Saccharomyces cerevisiae S288C: one gene and its partners. The protein of the gene in region 3 interacts with the protein of the main gene of each other region in a biochemical or structural test. Each region holds a gene or a part of one and is shown on either strand. Other genes may lie near its edges.

The links. Proteins that work in one complex are often made in the same cells at the same time.
Region 1: of the proteins of UBA1 (region 3) and UBC6, one has a biochemical effect on the other in vitro, tested with the Saccharomyces cerevisiae proteins (2 studies listed by BioGRID, with this or other methods).
Region 2: the proteins of UBA1 (region 3) and UBC12 form a complex in vitro, tested with the Saccharomyces cerevisiae proteins (one study listed by BioGRID).

The regions. Positions count from the first base shown.
Region 1 is NC_001137.3:357,835-361,369, reverse strand, and holds UBC6 (E2 ubiquitin-conjugating protein UBC6), read right to left. Parts: upstream 1,809-3,535; coding exon 1,056-1,808; downstream 1-1,055. Other genes in the region: AST2 (Ast2p), read left to right, coding at 1-868; ribose phosphate diphosphokinase subunit PRS2, read left to right, coding at 2,309-3,265. UniProt on the Saccharomyces cerevisiae protein: Catalyzes the covalent attachment of ubiquitin to other proteins. Functions in degradation of misfolded or regulated proteins localized in the endoplasmic reticulum (ER) lumen or membrane via the ubiquitin-proteasome system.
Region 2 is NC_001144.5:742,564-745,906, reverse strand, and holds UBC12 (NEDD8-conjugating protein UBC12), read right to left. Parts: upstream 1,757-3,343; coding exon 1,754-1,756; intron 1,620-1,753; coding exon 1,056-1,619; downstream 1-1,055. Other genes in the region: chitin deacetylase CDA1, read right to left, coding at 1-287; 1-phosphatidylinositol 4-kinase STT4, read left to right, coding at 2,044-3,343. UniProt on the Saccharomyces cerevisiae protein: Accepts the ubiquitin-like protein NEDD8/RUB1 from the UBA3-ULA1 E1 complex and catalyzes its covalent attachment to other proteins. The major substrate is CDC53/Cullin.
Region 3 is NC_001143.9:36,820-43,324, reverse strand, and holds UBA1 (E1 ubiquitin-activating protein UBA1), read right to left. Parts: upstream 4,163-6,505; coding exon 1,088-4,162; downstream 1-1,087. Other genes in the region: ATP-binding cassette a-factor transporter STE6, read left to right, coding at 1-902; TRP3 (bifunctional anthranilate synthase/indole-3-glycerol-phosphate synthase), read left to right, coding at 5,172-6,505.

The DNA of each region.
Region 1 (3,535 bases), on a different chromosome or scaffold from region 3:
GTTAGCCATTGGCGCCCTGCAAAGTTCGTTGCTCATTGATCCGCGTGTCGATCCTATTTTAATGCGACCCAAAAATACTCTATCACCAGAAAAGGCAGCAGGCTCCTTATTCTGTTTAGGAACAGCACTTAATCTGTTAGCTCAACTAAAGGAGAAGGATCAATTGAATACAGAATCTAATGTTTTAATAAACGGTGGTACAAGCTCTGTAGGGATGTTTGCTATCCAGTTATTGAAGCGTTACTATAAAGTTTCTAAAAAGCTAGTAGTGGTAACGTCAGGTAATGGTGCAGCAGTCCTGTCAGAACATTTCCCGGATTTGAAAGATGAAATCATTTTCATAAATTATCTGTCATGTAGGGGAAAATCTAGTAAACCACTCAGACGTATGTTGGATACCGGTAAAGTTGTAGATTATGATGATTTTAATACTCTCAAAGAAACCGAAGATTATACTCAGGGTAAATTTAATGTCGTGTTGGACTTCATCGGTGGTTATGATATCTTGAGTCACTCGAGTTCTTTAATTCACGCTAAAGGTGCTTATATTACAACAGTTGGTGATTATGTTGGAAATTATAAGAAAGACGTCTTTGATTCTTGGGATAACCCTAGCGCCAATGCAAGAAAAATGTTTGGATCAATGTTATGGTCATACGATTATTCTCATTTTTACTTTGACCCCAATATCAAGATTATCCCCAAGAAGAATGATTGGATACATGAATGCGGCAAGCTGCTAAATGAGGGAGTCGTAGATTGCGTTGTTGATAAGGTTTATTCCTGGAAAAATTTCAAGGAAGCATTTTCCTATATGGCTACACAACGTGCTCAAGGTAAGCTTATAATGAAAGTTGAAGGTTTTTGAAATGGGAGTTTCTGTCTCCCTAGGTTTCACCTCATTTTTATTGAGGTTTCTTGGTCAATACATACTCAAAAATATAATTAATAATTCACAATGTTCATAATAAAAAGATCCGTTTTGTCTATATAATACTATTGATTTCTATTCTGTGTTGTCAAAATTTATCTAAAGTTTAGTTCATTTAATGGCTTCATTTCATAAAAAGGCCAACCAAAAACAAAAAAATAGCGATACCAATATAAACCATTGAAGAACTATCATTAGGTTCTTTGCCATCTTTCTTGGAATTATTTTCTGATTGTCTCAACGCTTGTTCAGCGCGTATTCTGTCTTCAGGGTCTAGAATTTCCTCCAACGAGATGACTTTTTCCTTCGCAGCCTTTGTAAAAGGGTCTTCTGTTTCATCACCTGTATTTGCCGCATCCCCCTCATCCAATTTTCTCTTTTCTAATGTCTCTACATTTTCCTGTACAACTTCCGGAAAAATCAATTTGAATCTAACATTTTGAAAAGTGTTATAACTTATGGAATTTCTTGCTAATGTCTTCTTCTGATGGTCTGATGTTGTAATTGATCCTGTCGTGGCTTCATCACTGGTCATGAAACTTAGTAACCCGTTCAAAATGGTTGAGACAGACCAGCCAGGATTCCAAGTATCAGGGTGGTAATCACTCATAGAAAGGCATAATCGTGTGTTGGGCTTGAAACGTCCATTCGGTGTTATCATTCTGATAGCCGGTGGTTTGTATGGATAATCAGACGGGAAAGTTAAAGTACCGTGATATTGACCGCCCTTGTAAGGAGTATCCGCAGGTCCTGTGATAATATAGTGCCACTCTAAAATATTATCTTCGTTGGGGCGAGCAAGAATATATGGTGGAGGGTTTTCCACCATCAACTTGTACTCTTTCGTCAATCTCTTGTGAGCCTGCTTTGTAGCCATTACTATTGTACGTACTTTGTTTGCAATTTGCGAATGCGGTTTTAGTTAATATTTAAAGTCTTTTCTGCGATATGCGATGGTAGTCTTCTTTATCACGGCTCCTAAAGTGTGATAATCGGAAAGTTCCTTTCTGTTCTCTGCAATCGATTTCGGCTTTTTCTGAACACAAATAACCAAAATTTCCTTATTTTATTGGGGAGGCTATCCTAATTGTAAAGTGCAATATTGCTGTGGAAGGATATCGACTCAAGCGACCAGTGGAATAGGATGGCGAGTTGGCTAGTTTAGCTCTCTCCGACATTGTTGCTATTGAACAGATACGGTATGCCCGTGTATTTATCCTCCTACCAAATCGCGCAGCAAAATGGTTAAGCACGTGACTATTTTTCAACAATGAAAAAATTTTGAACAATAGATGATATGAGGAGGCATCGAGGGATTGCTAAGAAGAGGATATTCCTCATCATCCAAAGACTATCTTGTCGTAAGTTTCGTTGAATATGTCTACAAACAGTATTAAGTTGTTAGCTGGTAACTCACATCCTGGGCTTGCTGAGCTTATTTCCCAAAGGCTTGGTGTACCGTTATCTAAAGTGGGGGTATATCAGTATTCAAATAAAGAGACGTCTGTTACAATAGGGGAAAGCATTCGTGATGAAGACGTATATATCATCCAAACTGGTTACGGGGAACATGAAATCAACGATTTCTTAATGGAATTACTTATCTTAATTCACGCTTGTAAGACGGCATCAGTCAGAAGAATTACGGCAGTAATACCAAATTTCCCTTATGCTAGACAAGATAAGAAGGATAAATCGCGGGCGCCCATCACTGCGAAGCTGATTGCCAATCTTTTGGAAACTGCGGGTTGTGATCATGTTATTACTATGGATCTCCATGCTTCACAAATTCAAGGGTTTTTTCATATCCCGGTTGATAATTTATACGGTGAACCAAGTGTGTTGAATTACATAAGGACCAAAACAGATTTCAATAATGCGATACTGGTATCGCCTGATGCTGGTGGTGCGAAAAGGGTGGCTTCTTTAGCGGACAAGCTGGATATGAATTTTGCCTTGATTCATAAGGAGAGGCAAAAAGCTAATGAAGTTTCGCGAATGCTGCTTGTCGGTGATGTTGCTGGTAAGTCATGCTTGTTGATTGACGATATGGCTGACACGTGTGGTACGCTGGTGAAAGCCTGTGACACATTAATGGATCACGGTGCTAAGGAGGTTATCGCTATTGTCACACATGGTATATTTTCTGGCTCAGCTAGGGAGAAGTTAATAAATAGTAGGTTATCAAGAATTGTTTGCACCAACACGGTACCTGTTGATTTGGATTTGGACATTGTCGATCAGGTGGATATCAGCCCTACGATTGCAGAAGCTATCAGAAGATTGCATAATGGAGAATCAGTCTCATATTTATTTACACATGCGCCTGTTTAAAGAAGAGGTATAAACGAATATATTTGTATAAATGTACTAACAGATATTTTGAAAAAAAATGCGTATATCTATTCAGTATTAGCGCTTATGCTGCCACCAATATTCTTCATCTGGTCTCTATGAGATTTTCATTAAAGCTTAATCTTTTCTGATTTACCGCCCTTGCTTTTGGAAAATATGTGAAATTTTATTGTGCTCTAAAAAAAAAAAGTTATTACAGTAGGTGAAGTGAAATACAACTAAATTCGAAAGATCAGGAACAATAGAAAG
Region 2 (3,343 bases), on a different chromosome or scaffold from region 3:
TAGCAGTCAAATGAGCACTGCTCTCTAGAAATTTTGGGACACTGGCCAGGATAGTACCTATCTAATTCTGGCACTTCAGTAAGATTTATGTAATCTAGCGGAATATAAGGTGGGTCAATTCCAGGCCATTGTGTAAGATTAGTAAATTCTGTTAACCACTCTGGAAAGGGCGTTTGCATATCTACTTCCCCCATCAATGCGGTACTCCCATTTGACGCAAGGCAATTTCCCTGTTTTAGAAAAAATGCTGCGAACAGCACAGATTGTATTGTATTGAAAATTTTCATCTCTTTTCTTGTGTAAAAGTAAATCTATCACTTAATTTTGTTTCTCTATATTCCACTTTGCTTACTTCTAAGCATCTACTTTGTTAGAACTATTGGTCTTTTTGAAAACACAAAAGTAAATCAACCCACTTGTTGGTATTTTTCTCTTTTAATTGCGATTGAATGACGGCCGGTCCGGAAAATGTGACATCTGGAAAAGAGAAATGTTGAAGCTGCTTCCAAGTGCATGAGACAGAATTTTTTTTACAGAAAATAGAAAGCGTTATCTTGTTAAATATTACTAACTAGTATAGTCATTCATTTTTTTCTTCCATAGTTGTAATATCTTTATTTTTTGTAAGAATTAGCGATAGCTGAGATTGCGTTCTTCAACTTCCTGCTCTCTCTTAGTCTTCTATCCAGGGTATCTCACCTTCCTGATTATCTTGTCAATAGCCATGGCTTCGCTGTTTCTTTATTATAAGAAGTATTTTTTGTTTTCTTCAAGAAATTTTTCGTATTAATATCTTTATGTTTTGTTTGCCTTTACTGGCCAGAAATTTTATACTTATTTTGAATAGAACACATTAAGTTCTACAGGTACCTGCAAAATATCGAGACAAAAGTTTGAACGAGAATATAAGGAATGTTGGTCATAAGGCGTAAACTAACAGAAGATGGCGGTAGCAAGATGTTACCAAGGCGACAACTCGCCTAGTATGTCACAATTATCTATAATTTTATTGTTTATATATAATCAAATCAACCGAAAATTACTCTGAACTTGACTCAAGGAGAAACTATGTTATCATATTTGACATGTTCAATTGAACCTCCAGACATGGTCAATCTCACAGCTTCAGCAAATTCTTTCTCACCCTCACACAGTAACTTTGCTGCATCCTTGTTTAACGGGTCATTGGGATTAGGCTCCAAGAACAAGAAAAGAAGCCCGGTTATAATACTCTGCAAATCTAGAGCTGGCGACCAGTCTTCTCGAAGAATATTTAGGCAAACGTTCCCCTTTAAATCGATATTTGGATGAAAGATCTTCTTCAAACATACAACTTTTGGTGGTTCAATCGGATAAACTTCGTTAAAATCCAAATTGAAATTAATAGATCCATAATTATAATATCCTTCATCAGGCCTAACAATTACCTCCAATTTCGGCGATTGTGATCTATCCGCACTATCTGGTGATGTTATTACATTCAAAGTCACTGTTGGTGGGAGGTCCAGCGAATCAAGGTCCCTTTTCAAACGAATTCTTGCTGCCGATAAATTAGGCTGAATAGAACTGCTGTTTTCATTTTCTTTTTGCTTTTTCTTTTGTAATTGGCGTAATTTCAACTATTTGAATAAAGCCAAGAATATACATATCCAGTACACATATACATTCTCACCCCCCAAAAAGATTATGTTAGTATTTTCGATCGCTAAAAACCGCCAATGAGAAACGGAAAGATATAGTTGCATCTACGTACCATTTTTATTATCTTGTTTTATATTCTCTAACTGATTCTTTAATGTCTCTAAGTACATTTATGAATGATTGGCCTTTTTCATCTCATTTTACCTTTTGGCTGATATCATCAAACGGCACGCGCAGGGATGAAGGTACGTTAATAGTATTTTTTTTTTTCAAGAATACTGCGAAGATGTTTGAGTTGTGGGAAAAAACATATTCAACATTAATAACTATTGTAAATCAAGAAAAAAATTAGATCACAAAAAGATAACTACAGCAATCGAAAACGCCACTCGTTTAAGGCAGATGAGATTTACCAGAGGATTGAAAGCCTCTTCATCTTTAAGAGCGAAAGCTATTGGAAGACTAACTAAACTTTCGACGGGTGCACCAAATGATCAAAACAGTAATGGTACAACATTAGATTTGATAACTCATACATTGCCTATTTTTTATTCCACAAATACGTCAAAGATATATACTATACCACTTACATTGAGTGAATGGGAAGTACTAACTTCGCTTTGTGTTGCAATCCCTACCACGCTCGATCTGGTAGAGACAATGCTTAAAGAAATAATTGCGCCTTATTTTCTGGAAACTCCAAGACAAAGAATTTCAGATGTTCTGTCCTCGAAATTCAAGTTGGAACAGATGAGAAATCCGATTGAATTGCTAACTTTCCAGCTGACTAAGTTTATGATTCAAGCTTGTGAACAGTATCCCGTTCTTTATGAAAATATAGGCGGCATCATTTCAACTTATTTTGAGCGTGTATTAAAGATTTTTACTATTAAACAATCTGGTCTACTATCATTAGTGGGCTTTATTAATGCATTTATCCAGTTTCCCAACTCTACAGAGCTTACTAAATTCACCTGGAAAAAGTTAGCGAAACTTGTGCTTCGTGGATCATTTCTAAACGAAGTTGATAAGATTTTGAATTCCTCAGCAACGTTTACCAATGATTCAATCGTCCAGTATTACGATGCTGGAAATGAGCTATCCAGTGCCTACTTATTGGAATTAATATCTCGCTTGCAAGTTTCGCTAATATCTCATCTGTTAAACACTTCACATGTCGGCGCCAACTTGAGTGAGTTCTTACTAAATCAACAATACCAATTTTACAAATTTGATCAAGAAGTAGCCGATGAAAACGATGATACGAAGTGTATTGATGACTTTTTTTTCAACGTAAGAAGCAATAAACAGTTTTTTACAGACATGTGTAAAATTTCCCTGCAATTTTGTTCTGAGTCACATATTCTCGACCTATCTACAGACAACCGTGCAAGATTTTCTTTTGATACTCGAGCCCACTACCTACAAACGCTATGTTTAATTCCGTTTATAGAAGATACAGAAAGCGAGCTTTTTGAAAGTTTTACAAACGTTGTTTCTGAATCTATTGATAAATTTTTCTTATCTGATGTCGTTACACCATCTTTGATAAAAGCAATTGTAGCTTCTGCCTCATTACTGAATTTTTTCACGGAAAAATTGTCATTAACTCTGATTCGTATGTTTCCTTTATTGGTAGCGTCTCCACATATCACGACTGAAACAGTTAATGATGTTGCAAAAATATTCACCACAGGGTTAT
Region 3 (6,505 bases):
CTATTATGTCATGCACTAGCCTAGTAAGTCAGATACCCGATATAAGTAGAGGCCAACGTGCTGCCAGTTGGATCTATAGGATTCTTGATGAAAAGCATAATACCCTAGAGGTTGAAAACAATAATGCTAGAACAGTGGGAATAGCTGGTCACACCTACCATGGCAAAGAAAAAAAACCAATCGTTTCAATTCAAAATTTGACATTTGCCTATCCATCTGCACCTACCGCCTTTGTTTACAAAAACATGAATTTTGACATGTTTTGCGGACAGACGTTAGGTATCATTGGTGAATCAGGCACAGGAAAGTCTACACTTGTGCTTTTATTAACAAAACTTTATAATTGTGAAGTAGGCAAAATTAAAATAGACGGTACGGACGTAAATGACTGGAATTTGACAAGTTTAAGAAAAGAAATTTCAGTGGTTGAGCAAAAACCTTTATTATTCAATGGAACCATCAGAGATAACCTAACTTATGGTTTACAAGATGAAATACTTGAAATTGAAATGTATGATGCATTAAAATACGTAGGAATCCATGACTTTGTAATTTCATCACCTCAGGGCTTGGATACACGTATTGATACAACTTTACTGTCAGGTGGACAAGCGCAAAGGCTTTGCATAGCCAGAGCACTTCTGAGAAAATCAAAAATTCTGATTTTAGATGAGTGTACTTCAGCCTTGGATTCTGTCAGCTCCTCTATCATCAATGAGATCGTCAAAAAAGGTCCACCTGCTCTACTAACAATGGTTATAACGCATAGTGAACAAATGATGAGGTCTTGTAACTCGATTGCAGTTCTTAAAGATGGTAAAGTGGTTGAGCGAGGTAACTTCGACACTTTATATAATAATCGCGGGGAATTATTCCAAATTGTTTCCAACCAAAGCAGTTAAACCCAAAGAAAATATAAAACAAAAAACTAAAACATACTCAAATATTCGAGACTACATTAATAATAATAATAATAATAATAATAATAAGTTTTTACCAAAGAAAAAGTTGTCAAAAGTCATACATATATATATACATATTTAATGTATATATTTAATTTATTTTTTTATTTTGGTTAATTAGTTACTCATAGATGAATGGTAATGAAAGGAACTTCAACATCCTCTCCTTCCTTGTCATCTGCGCAAATTTCGAGAATCATTGTAGATACATGTGCCGGAATATCTTTCTTAGTCACTAATTTAACCAATTGAGTTATTGGTAGATTTAGTCTTTCTTTCAATTTCTTTGGAGGGAAAAATGAGGCATAAAGAAGAGAAACGCCATAAGAAAGCATTGTTATTTCTAACCCTTCATCTTTTTCAAAATGTTCAATTAAATCACTTAATTTAATATCTCCCTTGATATCAAATCTATCCCAAATTTTATCATATTTCTTGTTGTTATATTCTCCCTTTGGTGAAGCAATTGGTTCCGAAAAACCGAAAAATGGCAAAGCTAAATTAACAAAGCCATTCTTATATTGCTCAATATCTGTCTTGTTGTCAATCAGTTTATATAATTCCAAATTGACCAAACCAGTAACCAAAGAAGTGGTTGTTGCGATGGCAGGAATAATACGGCCAGCTATGAATTTGGTCTTTTGGCGATCAGCAGTTTCGATGAAGTAGTTTTGAGCTCTACAGTTAGAACAAGCCGTTATAAATTCAATATGATGATTAGTGTCATCGTCTTTCTCGAAATCTACAGGCTCCAGTTTAAAGCCAGCCAAAGTAGAAGGATCTGGTAGGGATGATACCAGCTGATCAATTTCATCTGAGCCATTAGCCGCGTTGGCATTTGGATCCGGATCATCGTCATTAACTTGAATTTTCAAATTGGCATTTGGAGTAAATTCTGGAATTATCATATGATCGATGACGGACTTATACTCGTCCACGTTGGGTTTAGAATTAGAGTCATCACTTTTAATACCATAATTATAAGCGCGTAAACTAGCACCTGCTACGACAAAATGGAAGTGATCGTTATTGTAAATATCAAACTCTAATGGTGTTGGAGCACGCTTAGCACCGGACCAAAATGGTTCACCGTTGGAAGTCTTGGCATCCTTGGGGAAGTTGAACAGTAACTGCTTGATATCATGGTTGAATTTTTTTTCAAATTCTAACCTTGCCCATTTGATACAATCTTCAAAATTGTGTGGTTTACTAGATAGAGAATCTGAGATGGATTCTAGAACTCCCTTGACATCCCCGCTTTGCTTTAGTGTTTGCTCAACGAAATTCGGTTGTGTCAAGTACATATTAACGTTTTCGGCGGAATCAGTGAAGTAACCTTGGAAAAGAGATTTGGCCCAGGCAATGGTGTGATCAATCTTGTTTGGGAAAGAACGTAGGGTACACAATGGGATAGACTTTTCTGGTGGGTCTCTAGAAGAAGAGTATGATTCAGTCAATCTTGGAATGATGACTTGAGTATTACCTTTAGTACCTAGGGTACCAGATTCTAACAGTGGTTTTCTATAAAACACACAACGGCGATCTACGTATGTTCTTGCGTCGACATTGTCTAGAGCGTTGGTGACAAAATCCAGGCTTTCCCAAAAGGAGTCATTAAATATTTCCTCAGTTTCTGGCCCCACTTTATCAATTTTAGCATTTATCTTGCCCTTCAAATCGGGGTTCATAGCACAAACGGCCTCTGCCGCTACTTCAGATTTGTTCTTTCCGACATCCTTTGGTCTAAACAAGAACTGACGGTTTAAGTTGGACTTTTCGATCGAATCGTTATCCGTAACAACGATGTAACCGTCGGAGCCAGAACCAAGCCCCAAAAGTGCCCAATTTTTCAACATCTCACAACCAATGGCACCAGATCCGACAAGAAAGACCTTTGAATTGGCAATCTTTTTCTGAAAATCCAAACCGAAAACCGCGATTTGATTATCGTAACGAGAGTTTACTGGCTGAGTAGTCTTCTCATTTCTTGGGAAGTTTTTAGGATCTGGCAATGATTCCAAGGAATCAAAGTACATAAATTGCTTTAGCGGAGTAAATTTACCAGAACATGCTTTTAACACTTCTTGTGCCACAAGGCCACCGAAAAATGCTACGACACCCGGTATGTCACCTCTTGCCTGATAGGAAAGCTCTTTGATTAAATCTTCATTAACATCTACACCTTCACCCAGAACCTCCGGTTGCTGAACGGACAAATCGGTGACCAACTTGATTAATTCATTGGCGTCTTCGTCATTCATTGTTCTTGGCAGTTCACCATTATGTCTAACGGCAAACTGATGTAAAGCCTGAAATCCCAAATGCAATTGAGCAGCTCTGTCAAATTTAGCAAAATCCGAAAAAACAAACTCAGGATTGGACAGTTGTTGTTTCAAAGACTTGAATGAGATTTTACGGGGTACTTTGACTTCGGTGAAGATACCGCCCTTCTTATACTCGCCATATTCTTTGACTGAACCAATTCTGAATGCAAAGGGCCCCAAAACCTCAACTTTAAAAAGGGTCCCATCATTCAACTTATCAAGACCTTCTACTTCGGAGAACCTGACAAAATTTCCGTCTTCCAACCCGTGTCTGTTATCATCTAGCATGGTCACTGTTCCATCGGGCTCGATGTCTGAAACCATACCAGTGCGAGGTTCTTCACCCGTTGGGTCCAACACTGTGAACTCGTCACCTAGGTCTACGAAGGTGTTACCAAACAGCCCTCTTGTCTCCGAGGAAATGAATCTAATACCGGAGGAATGGCAAAATTCGTTGATTTTCACCTTATCTTCCAAAGAAACAGTGTCCGTAGCGACAACGACCTGGAATTGACTCAATTGGGTAACATCGTCTAAGGAATCCAGCACATTAACCGGGACATATGCGTTCAACTCTGCCAATTTGGCTCTGGTCACATCTCCTCTCTTTTGACCAATATCCTTTTCGGTCAAAAAGAATTGGGTTGATAAGTCTGCCAATTGAACCGGCTCAGGGTCAAAAACGGTCATAGATTTGACACCTGCCAACACAACGTTCTTCGCTATCTCAACACCTAGCCCCTTCAAGCCGAGAATTAATACGTTGGAGGTTTGCATTTTCAACATTGCTTCCTTACCCAACACATAAAGTTGACGAGAATAAAGACTTTCATCGATTTCTCCGGCGGCAGAGAGACCACTATTATTGCTGCTCATAGCTATAGTTATATGTTCTTTGCTTTGCTACTAATCTTACTTTTTGTTTGCTTATATCCAGCGATTGGCGGTTGCTCATCCTACTTAAAGGCCCTTTTTGATCATTTTCTTTTACCTTTATTTGCCACCCGCACCTTTTGTCACACTACACGAGAATATGCCGCATGGAAGCGTAATGGCAATTCAAGAAAGAGCTCTAATATTATTTACAATCACATGAATACAAGATCATAGCTTAACAAGGAGTGGATAGTCAGTAAAGGCGCCCTAAGCTCTACTAAAAACTGGGCTTTAAAAGATGTTCCTCGTCACTTGAGAATCTGTTGTCCCTATCTGGTTCCTCATCATACAATCCACTCCATCGTTTCTCCCACCCTACTACAAACTAGTGAGGCGAACGAGAAAATAAGAAACACTAAGGCTCGCTTTTCCTGCTGGACAGAGACATGCATTAGTGTTTGTTGTTCTCGCGCCAGTCGCTGTTTTTGCTTGCAAGTGCGACGTCCTCTTCTTCTTCTTCTTCTTTCTTCTTTGAGATGCGTAACAACACAACTACATTTTGTATTTTCCTCCCTTTTATACTCCTCCGCTGGAGTATTTTTTCGTATTTTTCACTTTTTTTGCTTCTTATAGGCCTTTTTGAACTATTTTCTGTTAGGGCTTAAAGAAAGCGCAGCAAATGGCTGATTTTAAATGCTGTTTTCTCGAAAGCAATGCTGATGATGTACCACAAAGTAGTATTTGCGCTTAGCTTGTCGATATAAGTATGCCTTTGAGCCAGTATTAAACTTCCTACTATCTCTTCTGGACCTCACCGTGCTATTCATATCACTGACGACGGAAAATGCCTCTTGTAGTAATCATTGAATGATCATCAATGGCTCGTTGACTCATTCTAATCTATAGCAGATATTAAGGTACGCAAAAAGTTCGACAAGGAGCTGGTCAGTATTAACACATTACCAAATCTGTTTGGTTCTACATAGAACGCCATAAAAGTAAGAAAAAAATGTCTGTGCACGCTGCAACAAACCCAATCAATAAGCATGTGGTTCTAATTGACAACTACGATTCCTTTACCTGGAACGTTTACGAGTACTTGTGCCAGGAGGGCGCCAAAGTGAGCGTCTACCGTAACGATGCAATTACAGTTCCAGAAATTGCCGCCTTGAATCCCGACACATTGCTTATCTCGCCTGGACCAGGCCACCCAAAGACAGATTCTGGCATTTCAAGAGACTGTATCCGGTACTTTACTGGGAAAATTCCTGTATTTGGAATCTGTATGGGCCAGCAATGCATGTTTGACGTATTTGGTGGTGAAGTTGCCTACGCTGGTGAGATTGTCCACGGTAAAACGTCCCCAATCTCTCACGACAACTGTGGAATTTTCAAGAACGTGCCGCAAGGTATTGCTGTGACAAGATACCATTCATTGGCCGGGACAGAATCGTCCCTACCATCCTGCTTGAAGGTTACTGCGAGTACCGAAAATGGAATTATCATGGGTGTAAGACACAAGAAGTACACTGTAGAAGGTGTGCAATTTCATCCGGAATCCATCTTGACCGAGGAAGGTCATCTGATGATCAGGAACATTTTAAACGTCAGTGGAGGCACTTGGGAGGAAAACAAATCATCTCCTTCAAATTCTATTTTGGACCGTATCTATGCTCGGCGTAAAATAGACGTCAATGAGCAGTCTAAAATCCCAGGTTTCACCTTTCAAGACTTACAATCTAACTATGATTTAGGTCTTGCCCCACCGTTACAGGATTTCTACACGGTGTTGTCATCATCCCATAAAAGAGCCGTTGTTCTTGCTGAAGTCAAGCGTGCCTCTCCATCGAAGGGACCCATTTGTTTAAAAGCTGTTGCTGCTGAACAGGCTCTCAAATACGCAGAGGCTGGTGCATCCGCAATTTCCGTATTGACCGAACCTCATTGGTTTCACGGTTCGTTACAGGATTTAGTAAATGTGAGGAAAATCCTAGATTTGAAATTTCCTCCCAAGGAGAGGCCTTGTGTTTTGAGAAAAGAATTTATTTTCAGCAAGTATCAAATACTAGAAGCAAGATTAGCTGGAGCTGACACTGTCCTTCTTATAGTCAAGATGCTATCTCAACCCTTATTGAAGGAACTGTACAGCTACAGTAAAGATTTGAACATGGAACCTCTCGTTGAGGTGAACTCCAAAGAGGAATTACAAAGGGCTCTAGAAATTGGTGCTAAAGTTGTAGGTGTCAATAATAGGGACCTGCATTCATTCAACGTAGACCTAAATACCACCAGTAACTTGGTAGAATCTATTCCAAAGGATGTTCTTCTAATTGCTCTATCGGG